Linked DNA regions of Alligator mississippiensis. The protein of the gene in region 1 interacts with the protein of each later gene in a biochemical or structural test. Links are inferred from orthologs where the notes say so. Each region holds a gene or a part of one and is shown in the gene's direction. Other genes may lie near its edges.

Region 1 (3,749 bases):
AACAGGCTTGGGCATCCATAGTTGAGCAGCTGCCCAAGCCGGGGACGGACTGCTCTGGTTCTAGAGATGGATGCCCAGTACTTGCTTCAAATCTGGTCACGGTGATTGACAGGGCTAATTCTGTCTGTCCTGGTCCATATTATCATGTAATCATTTGCACATTGCCTGGTACACATCTTCCTCTGCCTGCCAGGAGTTATCTTCAGTCTCACTCAGGCCTGCCTGGCTGCCCATTTTCCTGAGTCAGAACTGAACCTCCCTGTGCAGTCAGCACTAGCCCGGGCACCCCCGGCCTGGGGGAAGCTCCCTCCCTCTCAACCCTGCCCTGCCTGGGGGACGGCAGCCTGAGGATGCTGAAGCTGAGCAGAGTTGGGGGAGGGCCGTGGCATAGCAGCATGTGCAGCATGTTTCCCCCGCACGCAGCGTGTGGAAGGCAGGGTGCTGCCCACAAGCAGAGGGTTTCTTTGCACTGTGTTTCTCCAGAAGCCCCTGATGGAGCGGTGCATACCTCCAGGATCTAGTCAGCTCTGCACCAAGCCCTCAGGATGCAGCGGCCCCGCTCCAAAGCCAGGAGTAGGAGACCTGTGAGAGCTGCAGTCCATCCAGGGACAGCGGTGCTGACCAGGCCTGCTCTTCCGGCACGCTGCACATCTGCTGAGCAGTGATTTTTATCAGTGTGTGTGTGCCCGCATGTTCACAAGCAGGTGTGCCTGCATGTTCACAAGCAGGGTGTGTGTGTGTGTGTCCACAAGCAGGGGATATATGTGTGTCCCCACAAGCAGGTGTGCCCGCATGTGCACAAGCAGGGGGTGCGTGTCCGTGTCCCCACAAGCAGGTGTGCCCACATGTCCACACCGGGGTGGGGGGGGAGGGTTGCCACAAGCAGGTGTGCCTGCATGTCCACAAGCAGGGTGTGTGTATGTGTGTCCACAAGCAGGGTGTGTGTGTGCCCACAAGCAGGGGTGCCCACATGTCCACAAGCAGGGTATGTGTGTATGTGTGTGTCCAAAAGCAGGGGTGCCCACATGTCCACAAGCGGGGGGGATGTGCGTGTGTCCACAAGCAGGGGGTGCGTGTCCCCACAAGTAGGTGTGCCTGCATGTCCACAAGCAGGGTGTGTGTGTCCACAAGCAGGGGTGCCCGCATGCCCACAAGCAGGGTGTGTGTGTGTATCCCCAAAAGCAGGGGTGCCCACAAGTCCACAAGCAGGAGGTGCATGTCTGTGTCCCCACAAGCAGGTGTGCCCGCAGGGTGTGTGTGTGTGTGTGTGTGTGTGTGTCCACGAGCAGGGGTGCGTGTGTGTCCCCCCGCAGGTGTGCGAGCGGGTCGGTGCGGGGACTACAAGGCCCACGAGGCCGAGCCGGGCGGGCTGGCGGCGCGGGGGCGGCGGTGGGAGCGGGGCCGGGCGGGCCGGGCCGGGCCGGGCCGGGAGGGGCGCGGAGCCGGGAAGGCGGAGCCGGGAGGAGCGAGCGGGAGGCGGCGGAGGCAGCGCCGGGACTCGGGCACCGGCAGCGGCCGCGCATCGCCCAGCTCCCGCAGCACCTCCCGGCCCGGCCCGGCCCGGCCGCACCGCCCCCCGCATGGAGCCGGGGCTGTGACCGCGCGGCCGGGGGGCTGCGCCTCTGCCCTGCCTGCCGGGGCCGGATCGCGCCGGGACAGGGCCGGCCCGCACGGTGAGTAGCGGCGGCGCCGCGGGAAACTTTGCGCCAACTCGGAGCCCGCGGCGCCTTTGTGCGAGTGCGAGCGGGCGGCCACGTGCGCCGAGCCGCCGGATCGGGGCCGCGGGCTCCGGGCCGGCCCCGTCCGAGGTGCTGCTCCCCGGCCGCGCGGAGGCGGCTTGGCCCGGGTCGGGCTGGCAGAGGGAGCCGCGCTCCCGGCCCCGCTTTGTTCCCCACACCCGGCCTCGCTCGCTCCTGCTCTTGGGTGAGCAGATCCCTGCCTTGGGGCCCGTGCGGAGGTGCTCCCCCGCGGGCTGGTGAAGGGGCCTGCGGGTACCCGGCTGGGCGCGAGGTGCTTGGGGGGATCTGTCTGCTGTCAGAGGCACTTGGTTCCTTTCCGGGAACACGGGTGTCAGGCGGCGGGGAGGGGACGCGCCTGGGTTTGGGGGCCGTTCTCCTGCCCTCTCCACCTGGGCCACATCTGCATGGCATCCTCAAAAGAGCAAAACTGCTGGGAGCCCTTCCTGCCGGCACTTGGACCCAGCAAGAGACGTAGTGCGTGCCAGCAGCAGGATTTTTGCGCTGGTGAAGATGAACCGGTGCAAAGTGAGCTTTGGACTCTGAGCGCGGCGTGCGACCGCGGAGTAGCTGTGATGGTACCGGATTCCCGGCCTGGCCTGCGGAGACCGAGCCCAGCCGCCTCTGCGGCAAGGGCCTGGTGTGTTGGGCAGTTCTGAAAATCACTGTTGGGTGCCAAGTGGCCTTCTCAGGATTTTGTCACAGGTGTTAAGAGAACCAGGGTGTTTTTCTTCAAGTCCCAGGGCTCGGAGTCCTGGGATTATACTGGCTCCTCATTTTGTTTGTTTAAAGTACACTTCTGGCCCTTACATGGCAGAGGGAGGTAGCAAACACAAGCCCTACAGGCTCAAAAATCAGCAGCAAATAGGAACCTGATGTTTACCTCTCTTTAAAACAGTGTGATTTGGAGAGGGAGCTGACTTGCGCTTCTTGACTTCTCTCTTTACAACCAACTGGGACTGTTCCCTTCCCAAATGGCCCACCGCCAGATGGTGAGGGTCTGTCATTCCCTATTCAGAGCCGTTTGCAGTTTTCGTTGGAGAATCCCTCTTGTTCGGGAGTGGTGAATGCTCGCTCCGGGCTGGCAAGCCGTTCCCTTGGCTGGACGTGGTATAGGGATCTAACCCACCCAGTGCATCAGTCAGCTGCTATTTTCAGAGGCGAGATTTGCAATTCTCCTGTGCTGGTTCGTTGTGTGAACCACCCCAGTGGGGATGAGGAACCACTGTACCTCTTCCAACCAAACCTTGAGTCACGTAGTTGCTTTTAACCTATTCAGTTCCTGCTGTTAGCGATTGAGGGTGCCTGTTATTGCTCCTGTGCCGTGTTTGGAGGCGGTGAATAACTAACTGATGTGCTGTGAATGGACAGGGGGCAGGGGCAGCTGTTCTGGTTGAACATACCATTTCCTTTTGGTGAACGTTTGAACTTTAAGACGTGCTTTACCCCCGCCTTGGCTGATACAGTGTGTATGCTGCGAAGGGTTTCATTTCCCAGCGTCCCCAACATGGGGGAAGCCAAATTCGCTCTCAGACTTGAACAAACCTCGCTGCTCCAGCTCCCCTCAGCTCCCACCAAGGCAGTGTGCAAACAGAGGTGTGTGTGTGTGTGTGCTTGTGTGCAGGAGACGGGGTCCTGCCAAGTCTTGAGAGATCAGTGGAGAGGGCCCTTGCTTTTTGCTGGGGCTGACAGCCATTTTTCCCCACACAGAAGCACTTCCCCTCTTAATCTCCGGGGTGGCTGGCACGCACCGGTGCCTTTCCATTGTCTTGCTCGGAGAGGATTAAAATAAATCAAGACAGTCCCTGCCCTGGAACGGTCAAGGAAGCAGCAAGGCTCTCCTCCGGCTCCAGGCTAGCAGCCGTTTTCCTCGGGACCCACAAATCTGTCAGCATTGAACGCTGGCTGCCTGGTGACTTCCATTCCACTTTACCGGGAGGCGCGCGGGCTGGAAGGGAAGCCCGAGCTGCTTCCAGGATCTCAGGCAGGCAACTTTATTGTTCCCCCTAGCTG
Region 2 (3,749 bases), on another chromosome or scaffold:
GTTTTAAGTTTCCAGGTGCAGTACTGAGAATATATTTCAGCCACGAGGAAAAATACATGGGAAATGCAAATTTAAGGGTTGTGAAAAGTCTTGCACAATTTGATTTCCTCCTGCCTCCCGGTTGATTTTGATCAGACCTCCTAATTAGCCATTTAAACAAAAGAAGACAGTAGTCTCACCTCTCAAGTCAAGGAGAACCTAAAACAACAGCAAAGGATAATGGGTAAAAATGAAAGCAAAACCTCCTGAGGAAGTGAGATACTCTCGAAAATTGGCTATCACTAAAGGAAAACAGAGAGAGAGAGATTATCACAATTGGCTACAGGAAGGCTATGCCTGGGTTTTAAATCAATTTTTTGAAAACTGACACTGGTACAAAAGGAGGGGAAGTGGCTGTCTTTTTTCTTCTCTCTCTTCAATATGCTACCAAATGTCCAATCTAGCAGATATTTGAGTATGCACATGAATAAAACCTAGGCACCTGCTTAAGCATTTGAAGCATCAAAGCCCTAAAGACCCAAGGTCCCATACTCTGATCTTCACTTGCTTCAGTAATCCTTGTTTTTCTGAGTAGACCTTATTTGTCCAAGCAGTCCCAAAGGGGACAACATGGCTACTGACATGTGTATGGATTAGTGCAGTGAGTGGTCAGCTGCAAAGTCAGATTCCCACTTCTACACTCCTGACTCAGTAAAAACTCCCCGTGTAGCTAGTGAGATTGTTGCCTGAGCAAAAACTGTAGGATGAGACCTTCCATCAACTCTCTATCTACAGCATTTATTGCTATAGGCCATGGCTCAGCAATCTTGAGGCTAGCCAAGAACACCGCCGCCAAAATGAAAACTGTCTTCCTGAAGGTGCAGGCCTGCTATTTGCACTTAGTTACCTCAGTAAGAGGTGCCGTGGATTTGTTAGCTACTTGAAGAAAAGAAGTACAAACCCTGCTGTGTAAAGATTCATTCTCCCCTAACGCTGCCTTGCTCTGTGCAAGTGATCCTAATGTAAACTCAGTGAACACACTGCCGAGGAAGCGGCTGGCAAAGTTTTCATTACTCTCTGGTGAGGTCCATGACTGTTTTTACACCTTCTTCTCTAAATAAGGAAGCCATCTGTGAGATATCTGACCATCCAACTGATCTGTCCCTTTAGCATTCAATACGGCCTACTGACTGCCCAATGAAACCTCATTCCGGCCTCCTGTCTTGGATGACAGTAGCGAGCAGGTTAGTGTTACAGCTGCGGCAAGTGTACCTTTGGCAAGCTGTTGATGTCAGAGTGATGCCGTAGGGTGGGACAGACCCTGAACTATAAAGATAGGTCAATCAAATATATCCAGGCTGCCCCACTGGAGAGCAGGAGCTACAAAACATGGTCTCCACCAGTTTGGGCTCTGCTGGCCTGTCTCTGCTTCCAACCCAACTGCTCCCAGGCTTTCATTTCATGTCAGCAATCCCTATCTGCCTTCCAAAAATAAGCATCTGCCACCATGCTGAAGGGAGAAAAACAAGAAGGGAGGTATTTTTAGGGCCATTAATTCTGACCACGTGCCCAGGAGGTGAACCGGATGGCCATAGCACAAAGACTCCTCATCACTATGTCCTGCGAAGCCAGCGTTCACTGGACGTTGCCTGCTTTTGTTCTTCTGGGTTTTCTCTCTGGGATTGTTTCATCATATCCAGTTGTCAGCAGAACTAACGGCACCTTGCTGGAGAGAGGATGGGAGTCTCTGTTGTCCAGGTCCATTGCTGGGATGTCAGGGGAGAGATCCGAGGTGAACTGGGAGAGTGACTATTTGCTAGGAATCAAGAGGCAGCGGAGGCTTTACTGCAACGTGGGCATCGGGTTTCACCTTCAAATCCTTCCTGACGGAAGGATAAGCGGAGTTCATGATGAAAGCCAATACAGTGAGTTGCATCCAAAAATGAAATAGCATAGATGTCACTTAATTGCAGTGAACTCGAGTAATTACCCTTTGCAGAATGCAAATGTTATTGCTTGATATTCTCAATCTAAGCTACATCTGTTGCCTTTTAAAAGTCTTTAGGATAAATCAGCACTAGAAACCTCCAGGCTAAAACATGTAATGAATGCATGGACAAAATTAGATACCAATTTATTTTTACTCTGCTTTCCTTCCCAGACTAGAAAAGTTAAATCCATTTGCAAACTTTATTTCTGATGCATTTTTCCCTACTCTTGTGCATTTTCCCCTGACATTTGAACCTGGAGGCTTTCATGCACTCACAGATATTACCTTGATTTTTGCCTGGTGATTTTCTTGCACATTGGAGGTGCTAAGGAATTGAAAGTGCACAGCTGTTACTATCAAATAAATAATTTTTACTGTTCATTTGGATTTGTTGAAAAGTGCCATTTACAAGTAGCTGATTAAGGTGAATTTCATTATATAAACCACATTTCTTTTGGCAAGGATGTCACTCTTGGTTATGGCATTTTAAATAGGGATTATTCTTATATAAGAAAGTCTTGGAAAATTTAGCAAGAATGAAACCGGTGAAATTCTACAGAAAATGAATAAGGGTCCAAAGACATTATTATAAAACCCTATAGAATGTAAGATGGACTGAGAGTCTGTTTGTGTGTGTGTGTGCATGTATGTGTATGCGTATATATAGATATAACTCTCTTTCTCTCTCTCTCTCCATATATATATATCTATATATATATGCATATACTTATTATGGATATAATTTTCAATTAAATCCTACACGACATTCTCATATGGATGTTAATAGTTATAACTTAATAGCGCATCTCTGGTTAATTTCTTTTGGCTATCTGTAAAATACATACAATTAAACTTTTATCTGTCTGTTCAGGTCTTTTAGAAATATCAACCGTAGAGAGAGGTGTTGTTAGCCTGTTTGGTGTGAAAAGTGCCCTCTTCATTGCAATGAACAACAAAGGGAGGTTATATGGAACGGTGAGTACAAGTTCAAATTTCTTTTTCTTTTTTTGACGCTTAATAATTGACCAGAATATGGTTACTAAGAAAACTTGGGAATTTTATTTTCCATCACAAAAAATCCCCTGGCAGTGCAACTATAGCAAGCCTAACTTACCATCATCAACAATGTTCATTGTGGTAATTGGCATTGCTGTCAGTGTGCTGTTATCATAAGGCATTCTAAGGAGCACTTAAGAAACATGAACTGGTTAAAAGGTGGCATTGATCACCTTTGAATGGCTGTCTGCATGTAGGCTTGGTCCTGCCAAATCTTCTGAGTTTTTTTCCACTCTGAATGGAAAGAGGGGACACACTGTCTATATGGAAATAAACATCGGAGCCAGGAGGTCTGGTCAGTAATAAAAACACTCCATGAAATTCTTCTAGGGAAGTCACCTCTAAATTCATCCACTTAGGGAAAATGTGTATGCCCCAACAAATTAATTTGTCCCCTTGAAATGGCCTGAGAGCCATATGCATGTGGGAGATCTTCCAGAGGCTAGTTTGGTAGGATAAAATGTAGAGGGAAAAAAAATCTCATCACTAATAAAATTATCCTAGTAACCACAAACACCATCATCATTGGACAAAAGGTATTTGCCAGTAATCACCAAATGCAAATTCAACTTTAAAATCCCTAGCAATGCTTCCATAATTTCAACAACCAGCAGAAGCAGCACCTGCAGAATATTCCAGTTGAAAGGGATCAGCCCTGCAAGAAGCAAGAAGTCTACCTCACATAATGTCTGGAGTTTGCTGCTGTTTCCTTTTTTTCTCAAAA
Region 3 (3,749 bases), on another chromosome or scaffold:
AATCTGTGGTTCGGGTACCACCGGTGGTACGCAGACAACCTGTCAGTGGTCCCCATTAACAGATTTATTATAATTACTTTATATAACAAAAATTTGCTGGTGGTACTTAAGGTTGTATCATTTTGAATCGGTGGTGTGCAATCTGTCAGAGTTTGGGAACCACTGGAGGCAAAAGGAATCAAAACTCGTGGCAGAGGTGAGATTTTTTTATTAGACCAACTAGATATTTGCAAAAAAATGTATATATATGTTTGCAAGCTTTTGAGACAGGCATGTTTCATCAGGCATAGGAGATTGCAAAGACTGTAGAAATTGCAGAAATAAAAATTCATATTCATGCCCAGCATGGCACTTGTCATTTTTAATGCCATGCCTTATATGTGCTTGTGGCAGGCAAGGTTCTTTGTGTGGATGCAATTTCTTTTAATAGACCAATTAGATATTTGCAAAAGAAATCTTTATTTGCACGCTTTCAACACAGGCACACTTCATCAGGCATAGGAGACTAAGTAGAAATCAAAATTCATATTCATGCCCAGCATGACACTCGTCATTTTAAATGACATGAATATGTGCATGTGGCAGGCAAGGTTCTTTGGGTGGATGTGATCCCTTTTACTAGACCAACTAGATATTTGCAAAAATAATTCAGCTTTCCGCCCAGGCACCTTCATCAGGCATGGAAGATTGCAAAGCTTATTAAAAGTTGCAGAAATCAAAATTCATATCCATGCCCAGCATGACACTCGTCATTTTAAATGACATGACTATGTGCATGTGGCAGGCAAGGTTCTTTGGGTGGATGCAATCTTTTTTAATTAGATATCTGCAAGAAAATTGTCTTTATTTGCAAGCTTGCAACACAGGCACATCTCATCAGGCATAGGGAATTGCAAAGATTGTAATGGCACGGATATATCAGGCGAGGTTCTTTGGGTGGATGTGATCTCTTTGATTAGCCCGACTAAAATTAATGTGCATGCATCCTTCTGGAGAGGGGCAGACTTGCTAGCCGTGTTGGTCCGAGACAAGTTTTTTGTATGTCACTCCGGGAGCTCCCTGGCAAAGCCAAGCCAAGCCAAGCCAAGCCAAGCAGCAACCCCCTGCTGTAGATGCGAGTGAGTCCCGGTGCAGATCCAGACCATCTTTTGCAGGCGGCTGCAACCGTTTCTCCCGTGTCTCTCTACAGTACCTCCTTGATGCTTATTGCACTGTACTATTTGTGGCCAGCATGGGTGGAAGAACACAGTGAGGTGCCACCCCCTTCTCCCTTCCAACCCCACCAAAGCAAATCCAGGACGGCGCAGGGATCTCTGTTGTGCGTGTGTGCTGAGGCTGGGACTGTCACTCATTCTCTGATCAGCTCCTGCAAGCAGCTCGAGAGCAGCTGGCAAAATCCAATAAAAAAATACCCCGAACCCAATTTGAACAAAACAACAACAACAACAATAATAATCCTTAAAAAAAAAATAAAAAATTTGCATTGCATCTGAATGCCCATCTGCACCAGCTCCTCTTGAAGGAAACCTATCTATATATATTTTTGCAAGCAACTTCTCCATCAGCAGATTGCAATGCTGCAAACTAAGGATCTCATCTGGGCTTTATTTTTCCTCGGGACTGCAGGTACGTGCATCTGTGTTATGTGGGGGGAGATGCATGGGGGTTGCTAATGAAGAGGGGGGGCATTGCATGTCTGAGGGGCTGCTGGTGCAGCTGGAGGCTGCTGTGCGCGAGCAGGGAGGCAGTGGGCTTTGCTTTTGTGTGTGTGTGTGTTTCCTAGAAGCCCAGAGCTTGCACAGATTTATGCCCCCCCAGGGCATGGCAGGGGCTGGAGCGCTCCCTCCTTCATTGCTGCATTGCTGAGGCAGGGGGCATTTTTCTTTTCTTTTTTTTGGGGGGGGGGGGTGTGTGTGAAAAGGGGCTGCCTGCAGCTGAGCACACAGCAAACAATGGAGACTTTTTCTGGGGGGGGGGAATGCCCACAGTGGAGATACAGCGTGAGGGGCTGAGAAAGAGGAGGATGCTCTTCCTCTTCGCCTGCAAAAGGTGCGGAGATGCCGCGCGATAGGGGAATCGCTCTGTGCGTGTGTGTGTGTGTGTGTGGGTGGGGTGGAGGGGGGAAGGAATGGAACGCGGCGCAGCCAATCAAAGCCCGCCGGCCCCGAGCGGGAAACGCCGTTAGGGCTCGGGCCCCAACGTTCGCCGAGGCTCCGCCCCCTGAGGCTGACCCCCACTCGCCTCAGTACCTCCCCTCGCATGCCAGCTTCACCTGAGGGGGGCTCGTATTGTGGCCAGGCTGCCCCATGCATTCCCCTCTGTGCCCCTGCCCCGTGCACACCCCCTGGCGTGGTAGATTGCAGAGATTTCTAGGGTCAGAAGGGACCTGTCCAACCCCCTGCCCTGGGCAGGAAAGAGCACCAGGGTCAAGTGACCTCATTGTGGGGCTCCCCTGGAGATAGGTGCCCATCCGTGTGTGTCTGCCCCCCAACAAGGTGCGGCTCCCCTGGAGCTGGGCGCCCACCCGTGTGTGTCTGCCCCCTGGCATCATGCGGCTCCCCTGGAGCTGGGGTGCCACCTCGCCCAGTCAGCCATGCACAAGGGCCCTGCCGCCCTCCACAGCAGCTGGAAAGTGGCTTGTCCAAGCCCCATGCACTCCAGCTTGCAGCTGCTCCCATCAACCTGCCCCCGTATGTTTGCCCCCCAACTTGCCATCGGGATCCTATGTCTGGTCCACGGCAGCCCTCCCCCAAATCCTCAGCAGGAATCTCCAGCTGCCATGGCACAGCCCTGCCTTTGCAACACACCTGTGCTCCTGCCCAAAACGACCCCACCCCACCTTGGTCGCAGCTGTTCCCACTCCCCAGGGTCTCATCACCGGCTGACGGTTCTTGCCTGTGTCTGGGCAATCATGGCTACCGCTGCTCCACCCATGTTCAGGACCAACCACCGTCATTTCAGGGATTGCATAATTACTACCGTCCCTAATCGGAGCTGCCAACAGGCACCCACAGTCACTGCCTTGTCCTGCTTCTGCTCCTGACACGCCTGAAACGCACCCCAGCTACAACCCCATCCCATGTTACTATACAGCTTCCTCCTAACCTAGGCATTGCTCTAAAGCTGCTGTTTGAGTGGGTTTTTTAATGTGCATTATTCCCCATTAGATTAAAATCCCAATAGGGAGAGTGTTGACTCCTCGCTGGATGCTCAAGGCTTAACACTACCATGCTCCCCCGCCGCACCCTCTGCTCGCTATCACCAGGTACCTTCTTCTTCTCCCCCTTTATCCAGCTAGACACCTCGCTTTCCCCAGCCACCACGTCACACATGCATGCATGCAAAGCTAGACACCTACCTTTCCCCAGCCATTGCACACACAGGCACATTCATGCAAGGTATTCTCAATATGTGGAGGAGGAAGAAAGTGGGTTTTCCAACACATAGACTGAGGTAAGCAATGCTTTATAAAAGGGAAATATATATACATGCACATATCACCTGCTGCCCCACTCAAAAGGTTATTTTTCCAGTAATAACATTAACAAATGCCGGAGTGCTTAAGGAGCGGCAAGGATCGAATCTGACCGTTAAGTCAGCCTTGTATGGAGAACGGAAAAAACCCCCCCCAAAATATTAAAAAGCCCAAACAAAGCAACAACACAATATATAATACAAGCAACACCCAGCCCACCTCTGGTGCCTTCAGTCTTAAGGGATCCTGCTTTAATTTGCTGAGCCCTACCTCC

Evidence for each region.
Region 2: the proteins of FGFR1 (region 1) and FGF6 interact in a biophysical measurement, tested with the Homo sapiens proteins (2 studies listed by BioGRID and IntAct, with this or other methods). The link is inferred for Alligator mississippiensis from reciprocal best matches to the Homo sapiens genes FGFR1 and FGF6.
Region 3: the proteins of FGFR1 (region 1) and NCAM1 form a complex in vitro, tested with the Homo sapiens proteins (2 studies listed by BioGRID and IntAct). The link is inferred for Alligator mississippiensis from reciprocal best matches to the Homo sapiens genes FGFR1 and NCAM1.

The regions. Positions count from the first base shown.
Region 1 is NC_081830.1:18,134,950-18,138,698, forward strand, and holds the start of FGFR1 (fibroblast growth factor receptor 1), read left to right. Parts: upstream 1-1,493; 5' UTR 1,494-1,673; intron 1,674-3,749. UniProt on the Homo sapiens protein: Tyrosine-protein kinase that acts as a cell-surface receptor for fibroblast growth factors and plays an essential role in the regulation of embryonic development, cell proliferation, differentiation and migration.
Region 2 is NC_081827.1:142,599,407-142,603,155, reverse strand, and holds the start of FGF6 (fibroblast growth factor 6), read left to right. Parts: upstream 1-1,564; coding exon 1,565-1,904; intron 1,905-2,840; coding exon 2,841-2,944; intron 2,945-3,749. UniProt on the Homo sapiens protein: Plays an important role in the regulation of cell proliferation, cell differentiation, angiogenesis and myogenesis, and is required for normal muscle regeneration.
Region 3 is NC_081839.1:32,353,181-32,356,929, forward strand, and holds the start of NCAM1 (neural cell adhesion molecule 1), read left to right. Parts: upstream 1-1,232; 5' UTR 1,233-1,574; coding exon 1,575-1,626; intron 1,627-3,749.